Linked DNA regions of Notamacropus eugenii. The protein of the gene in region 1 purifies or fractionates together with the protein of each later gene. This does not show direct contact. Links are inferred from orthologs where the notes say so. Each region holds a gene or a part of one and is shown on either strand. Other genes may lie near its edges.

Region 1 (3,745 bases):
GCCAAACGAGACAAAGGGTTTGGGCCGGTGGCACTCGAAGAGCCTGTAACTCGAGGACCGCGAGGGCTAAAGGCTCATGGCGGCCGGGCCTACAAAATGGCGACCTAGGAGGGGGGGGTGTGGAAGGAGCAGGCCACAGCGACAGCAGGCTACAGAACTCACGGATAAAGGTCGTATTAGAGGCGTATTGGGCTAAGCACCGTAAGAGGATACGGGGAACAGAACAGAGAAGAACGAGATAGCACAATCGTTGGGCTGCGACTCCCTTACCTCTGACTTCGACATGGTGAGAGCGGTAGCAAAAGCTTCAGCGATCCTTCTCCAACGGTGTCGAGAACAGAAAGGAGATAGCTAACTAGCGTTTCTGTCTCCCCACCTTCGTACCCGCTTTTTAATCCCGCCTCCTCGCGTTCTGCATTGGTAGACTCCTCCCCTCCTTGTCAACCATTGGATAGCTCCAATCATTCTAGCTACCGATTGGTCTATGGTAGCGCATCTTTGCGTAGCGTAATGCGTTGCGTAAATTCCGCCCCGAGGAAGCTGCTGATTGGCTTCTGAGAAGTTCTTTTTTTTTTTAAAGCGCCTGATTGGCTCTCCTGCCAGTCACTCTTGTTTGAAGGTAACCAGTTTTTTTTAGGTAACTTTAATTTTTAATTGTTTAAAATATTACGCTATATTTAGGGAGGAAAACACTATTAAACGTGAAAAATTAAAAAAATAATAAATGACTAACAATTACTTCTTGGGCTTCTATTCTCTGAGAGCGCATGCGTAGTGCCACAGCCAATTAACGCAAGCGCAGTAAAAAGACCTGACGGCTATTTGTACAACGTGTAATGGCGGGGAAGAACGGACCTATGTAATACACCTGCGCAGTGGCGGGAGTCTTGTCCCTTTATGCGCATGCGCAGTGGGCGGAGGAAGGGTCCTTCGTTGGATCGCGTGCGCAAGCGCAGCGGCGGATCCGTTTTGGCGGGCGGTTGGCGTTGCGCAGAAGGCGGCGGTGGTTCCTTGTGGTCCGGCCTCTTCGCAGAGGAACGGGGACAAGGTTAGGGTGAGAGAACGCTCTCAGTCCCGGGTAAGTGGAAAACAACCATGTCTACACTTCTAGGTCCTTGGAGCAATTCCAATCGGGCCCGTTATTGTGTGAAATGAATGGACCGCTGGGGTGGGGGGGGGCGGAGGAAGAGCGACAGGGTTGATCAACCAATAGGCGAACAGGAGGCGGGTGTAATTGTCCTGATGGCCTGTCCTCTCGTCCAATGGCTGTATAGGAGGGAACCCAATGGATGAATAAGATTGACAAGACCGTAGACCAATTGAGACTCCATTTGGTGGTTCTTAGTAACTGACATCGATCCTTGGGCCACAGGAAGGCGGGAGGCGGGTTCTTTCCTGAGCTGGGACGCTCTAAGCAAATTGGAGAGAAGTGCGCGGGGAGGTTGGGCTCGCCAGAGAGACAAGGGTCTGAGCCCAATGTGAGAGATGAGGGCTGGGTCTTTCAGATAGATGGACCAGGCGAATAGCCAATGGGAGGTCAAACCAAGGAAAGCGCGCGGGGAGACGGCCCAATCAGCGCTCTGGCGGGGGGTGGGTTTAGATTTGGGGTTCCGAGGAAGGAGGATTGCCTTTTGGGGGTGGGGATCCCTAGGGGATGACTTGTTTTTCACGGAGGTCTGTGGGCTTGCCCAGTCCCATCTGTGGTCCTGTTCTGAGGCTTGTAAGCCTGATTGATCATCAGTGCTTGCCTTTTCTTCGGCCCTTTTTCCTCTTAGGGTTCAGTGCAGGCCAGGGAAAGACTAAGACCACATGTTTGTCTACAACCTTGCTTTGTACCCTATAGGCACACTCACCCCAAGACCACATGTTTGCAACCTTGCCTTGTAACACATACTTACACTGCAAGACTACATAATTTTTCTGGAATCTTGCTTTTTAGCACATAACACCCTCATCCAAGACCACATGTTTGTCTGGAACCTTTCTTTGTAACACGTACATACACTCCAAGACTACAAATTTCTTTGGAACCTTGCTTCTTAACACACATGTACACCAAGACCACATATTTGGAGCCTTATTTTTTAACATAACATAGATATTTGTCTGGAACTTGCTTTTTAAGGCACAAATATACACACACACACCTTCCCCATTTCACCCCTTTTCTTTTGCAATGAAGGAAATTTCAGACCTCTCTCTATCTAGTCATCTGGTCATCTGAAACTACCTCACTTGTAAAATGAGGAAACTTCCCAAGTAGCCATGCCTTGGGGAATCCAGAAGCCTTTCAATAACCAGGATGAATCCTTGAGGAATTGAGGTGATTCCAGATCCACACTTACCTATTCACATGTTCGTGAATGAAAGAAATGTCATCAGATGCTTTGTTCCAGACTAGTTCAGTAAGGGTTAATAATTGAGCTTCTTTGGAAGTAGCATAATTTAGGAAATTTTATTATATAGTCCCCTCTGACTTTGTACACAAAAGAAATAAAATTTTAAAAAGACATTTGGTAAATAAAAACTCAAAATTTGCTTTCCTGCTCATTTCCATTTTCTGTGATCTATGCAAAAGATGAAATCTTCTGAGGAGGCCCTGTAATTTCCTTGGTTTAGGGAAGCACAGAGTAAGGAAATCAAACTCCTTAAAGTGTCAGAATTCCTGGGATAGTTTAAGTGACTTGCCGGGGAACACTCAACCAGGATATATGTGTCAGAAACTAGACTTGAACCCATATTTTCTTAACTTCAAGACTATCTCTCTATCCACAATAACAGGATGTATCTGAAAGTGATCTAACTAGTCACAATCTCAGTATTTGACCACAAGGTGTGATGTGAGATGAGTTAAAATTAATCATTATATCATTTGTTTTAAAGGTAGGAGGGAAATGAATAATTTGATTTAATACCACATTTGATGAGAATCTCATGTGAACCTTTATCTGCCTTTCATATAAACTGGAGATTAAACATAGGGAGAAAGAGATATGCCATATGATAGTAGTATTTGAAAACCAGATTAACAAGTGTGTGGACTCTTTATTTAAAGATCTGATAAATCAGATCTATAGGCTTCACATTTTCCAAGAAAAGTGTATTTTTTGTGTTTTCCATGTATGGTTGAATAAAAACAAAAATTCATTAAAATTTTTATTATTGTTACTAACCTGTGACCTGTTAATTGCTATACATTTGTATTGTGTTCACAGACGTTGAATGCTTAAAATGAGTGTGAATGTGCTTTTGTTCAAAGTGGACTTTATTTCATTATTTCTTTTATTTTCAGCTAGGTTGGACCTCTTAACAAGCCATTTTAATTAAGTGGTTTGTTCACACTTTTTCTTTGGAAACTAGGTCCCCAAATCACTCCCTCTTCCAGTCAAGAATGGACAGCTGATTTACCATCTTTGGGAAAAGGTGTCTTCTTTGTCTGTGAGGATTCACCTTTGCAGCCTGTTAAATATGAAATGTGTGAACATGGCAGTTTGAATGACAGATTAAGTGAGTAAGGATTGGGAGGCTGAACAGCTTCAGGTTCAACCCCAGAAGTTCTTGGTTGTACAGCTAAAGTAAGCAACAGTTCTTGATTTAGTTTGTTTTGTTGAGAATTTTCCTCTTTTTAAAAAAAATTTTTTCGTTACATATTAAGTTCTAAACTGTCTCCCTTTTACCCTCTCTCCTCATCCTGAACTTAGAGAAGGCCACCATTTGAGACTGATGTGTGTGTGTGTGTATGTAT
Region 2 (3,745 bases), about 33 Mb from region 1:
TTATGGGATGTGACACTAGGTTGTTTCTGGGAGTATTATGGGATGTCTGGCTGCCCAGCTGCCCCTGGTGTTTATTATGGGATATCTGGGTTGGAGTGGGAGAGTTGTATTATTATGGGATGTCTTGAGGGAAGAGGTGATTAGATGTCCATCTGTGGGGTGACAGTGAGGGTGCTGATCATTATGGGACATCTGCATATAGGGGAGGGGTGATTATTATGGGCTGCCAGACTACAGAGTGAGTGTGTAAAGGATGAGGATGATGGTGGTGAGACTATCAGAGGACACTAGCCTGGAGGGGCTGGGGGGAGCTACCATGGGGTTGGTTATTATGGGATGTCTATATAGAAAGGGGGAGACTGGTTATTATGGGATGTTGTGTGGGAAGGGGCCCTGAATGGCCGTTGTTGCAGAGGGCGAGGGTGGATATTATGGGATGTCAAACTGGGGGTGGATGGAGGGTGGTTATTATGGGATGTCTGTTGGGGGATGGGGGTGAGTATTATGGGATGTAAGGCTGAAGTGCTGGGAGGGGTGGTTATTATGGGATGGCCATGGAGAGGGAGGGGTGAGAGGGATCATTATGGGATGTCAATCCTGGGGGGTTAGAGTGGGGAAGTTGGCAGGAGAATGGTTATTATGGGATGTTTGGGGAGAAAGGGTTGAGTTGCAAAGGAACTGAGTATTATGGGATGCCCCTAACTCTGGCATATATGTATATGGAAGTGGGGGAGTCCACGAGTATTATGGGATGTCCGGGAGGTGGGCGGTTGCTCCGGTGACACGCGCGCGCGAGCGATGAAGGGGCGGGGCCAATGGTTGCTGGGGCGACGAGGGGGCGGGCGTTGCCGGGGAGATCCAGGGAGGAAGGTGGAGGGTGGGGGGAAGGGGACTGGGGAGGGTTGGAGTTGGTTGGGGTTATTATGGGCTGTCCGCGGGGGGGGGGCGGGGCTTGGGCTGTGGGATTTCCCGGCCGGTGTTTCGGGCCCTTTAAGAGGCGAAGCCGGAGCCGGAGCCATTTTCCCCCCTTCGGCCGCGGCGAGGAGGAGCTGGAGTGGGAGCGAGAGCTACAAGAGCTGGACCCCGCGGCTCCGGGGTGAGGAGGGGGCGGGGTCCCCAAGGAAAGACCCCCTTCCAGAGAAACTCCCCCGGGGGTCCTTCCCCTGTCCCGCAGAAAGCTCGTTCACACCTGGCTGGCGGCCCCCCCCTCCGAGCCCCCAAGGGCCCGAGGAGAGCAGAGCCCTCCCCCACCCAAGGCTTGGAGGCGCCTCCTCGGGCTCCGTGGGCCCTTTCGGCCCCCCAGGACAGCGGGGAGGGGGCGGCTTCCTAATGTGTTAGGCGCCTGCCCCCCCCCCCTGCTGCCCTTTGCGGGCTTGTTCCCCGGGACACGTGGCCTGGCCCCCCTCCCCAGGTTAGCCTGCAGACCCTTTCCCCCCCTTCTCTCCCCCGCTCCAGACCGGGCTCAAGTCTGGAGACTCCACCCGCCCCCTTCCCTTGGCTCCCTGGAAAACCTGAAGCGCTCCCGGGATCAGCTGCCCTCAGTGGGCACTGACCCCTCCCGGCGTCCGGGAGCTGGCCCTTCCCGCCCCCCACTGACCTTCCGCCTCCGAGAATCGCCCCTCTCGTAGCCCGCCGGGCTCTGGCCCCTTCTCCTTACGGCCCTCAGCTGTCCTCCCACAATGCCCGCTTGGCCCTGGAGGAGGGAAGGGCCCCTTCCTTCCTGCCCCTGCCCCACCTCTGGCCTTAGCCTTCCTCACGGGGAGCGAGGCCCATCCCGGACCCTTCCCCCGAAACGCTGAAGAACGAAGTTCAGTTCAAGTGGGTTTTGCCGTCTGGCCCAAGTGGCAAGGGGGGGTTGGTGGGGTGGTGGGTGGAAAGAATAGGTGGGGGTGGGGTGGGGGAGGGGGACAGGGACAGTGCACGTCACTGACTGTTCTCTCTCTTTCTCTGTCTCTTCCCCCCTCCCCCCTCCTCTGCACAGTGACTCGGGCCAGCACAGAGGGCCCCAGGCCGGAGGCAGGAGCAGCTGGGCCAATTCCCTGGCCAGGAGTGGAAGGGGATGGCTTCAGGCCTGGGCTCCCCATCCCCCTGCTCAGCAGGCAGTGAGGAAGAGGACATGGAGGTGCTTCTAAACAGCCTTCCCCCACCCCACCCAGGTAAGTGCTCAGAAGGGGCCACAGGCTGGGAAAGAGGAGGCTTTGGGGCCTTCCCCTAGTGACTGTTGGGGCAGGGTTGGGTAATGCCTCTCTTTGCAGGATCTGAGGTGGGAGGGTATCTAGAGGGAGTGGTTCAATTCTTCTGAGCTCCCCTGTAAAAAGGGTGATGGCAGCCATGTGTTTCTGCCTTGGGCATCATGGATTGAGGTGTCTTGGAGATGACATTTAGTGCCCATCTGTGCCCATTTGTAGGGTCTGAGCTCACGGTGAGATGAAGATTTTGCTCTATGTGAAGCTTAGAATGAATAGGGTGGCAGTAAGCTTAGGTTATGGTCAGCCAGTGCTTTGTGACTTGGCCTTAGGGTTTTGGGGCAGAGTGGCCAAGCTTCCCTGAAATCTAGTGGGGTCTTGGGGGTAGGGGTCAGTGATGCCTTGGAAAGTATAAACAGGGATTGCTGGGTTCTCTTATTCAGTTTATTTTTAGCCAGTGATCAGTTACCGGTTTTCTGTTCTCTCTGCTGACTGAACTGTGCAAAGTTTGAATCTCGCTCACAGCCGGGATATGGAGCACTTGCAGCCAGGCAAATTGCTGGAGTGTTTTGGTTGGGGAATGAAAGCTGAGGGAATATGTTAATGATCTAGAAGACAAGGTTTGAGGGTTTGGGGAGCAGAGGAGCTCCCCCAGTACATTTGAGTAGGAAGGAATTTTTTTTAAAGACTTTCCATCATTCTTTTTAGGGAAGGAATGTTTAACAGAAGACTTTGTGTCTGGGAAAGTATGTTTATCTTGGTGAAGGGGGAGAGGAAAGTATAGAGGTGTGTTATATGTGTTTGGGGTGGGACTTTGCACCAGGCAAATTGAAGTAGTCTGATTTATCCTGTGCTTTTCGGAGATGGTACTGACCAGTCCTGAGGAGCAGAGCTTTAGTTCACTGCTCAGATGGAGAGATGCTGTATGCTTGTCTTGTCTTCTCTCCTGCCCCTAAACTGGCCTTTTTGTTCTCCTACTTGTTTTCTTTATTCCCCATCTCAGATTTTCTTATCCTCCCTATTGTCTATTCATGAGAACTTTCTTCTTCTATTGGATCTTGAAGTATCAGAGAGACAGTGTAGTGAGCCCTGGAATCACATTCTGTTGTTAGCTGTGTGGCCGTTAGCCAGCCAAGAAACCTCTCTGAGCCTCAGTTTGGTCTTCAGTTAAATGGAGAAAATAGATGTGTAGAACCTACTTCACAAAGTTATTGTGAAGTTCAAATGAGAAAATGTATGGAAAGTACTTTGTAAACCTTAAAAGTGGTATATAAATGTTAACTACTGCTTTTGTTATCTGAGCCAGCCATTCTTGCATTCCAAAGGCTACTGATCTTGCTTAGGTTCCCCAGTGACTATCTTTTTTATTTTTAATTTTCTTTACTTTTGACAAGAACTGGGCTGCCTTAGAAATGCTTCTAGATTTGGGGCTAAGTTGGGGTCACGGATGTGTGTAGTGGAGCCTCTGCTATACCCTTCATAGTTGTTTGGGTAGATGTTAATCCCTATCTTCCCCTGTCCTTTGCTTTAGTCTGGTATAGTGGAGGGCCAAATTTTGA

What was found. The genes of interacting proteins can lie anywhere in the genome.
Region 2: the proteins of CBX5 (region 1) and CHD4 purify together in Homo sapiens (affinity purification with mass spectrometry; 5 studies listed by BioGRID and IntAct, with this or other methods). This does not show direct contact. The link is inferred for Notamacropus eugenii from reciprocal best matches to the Homo sapiens genes CBX5 and CHD4.

What each region holds. Positions count from the first base shown.
Region 1 is NC_092874.1:227,404,640-227,408,384, reverse strand, and holds the start of CBX5 (chromobox protein homolog 5), read left to right. Parts: upstream 1-829; 5' UTR 830-1,078; intron 1,079-3,745. Other genes in the region: HNRNPA1 (heterogeneous nuclear ribonucleoprotein A1), read right to left, coding at 271-285. UniProt on the Homo sapiens protein: Component of heterochromatin that recognizes and binds histone H3 tails methylated at 'Lys-9' (H3K9me), leading to epigenetic repression. In contrast, it is excluded from chromatin when 'Tyr-41' of histone H3 is phosphorylated (H3Y41ph).
Region 2 is NC_092874.1:194,885,759-194,889,503, reverse strand, and holds the start of CHD4 (chromodomain-helicase-DNA-binding protein 4), read left to right. Parts: upstream 1-1,100; 5' UTR 1,101-1,818; intron 1,819-1,981; 5' UTR 1,982-2,059; coding exon 2,060-2,156; intron 2,157-3,745. UniProt on the Homo sapiens protein: ATP-dependent chromatin-remodeling factor that binds and distorts nucleosomal DNA. Acts as a component of the histone deacetylase NuRD complex which participates in the remodeling of chromatin.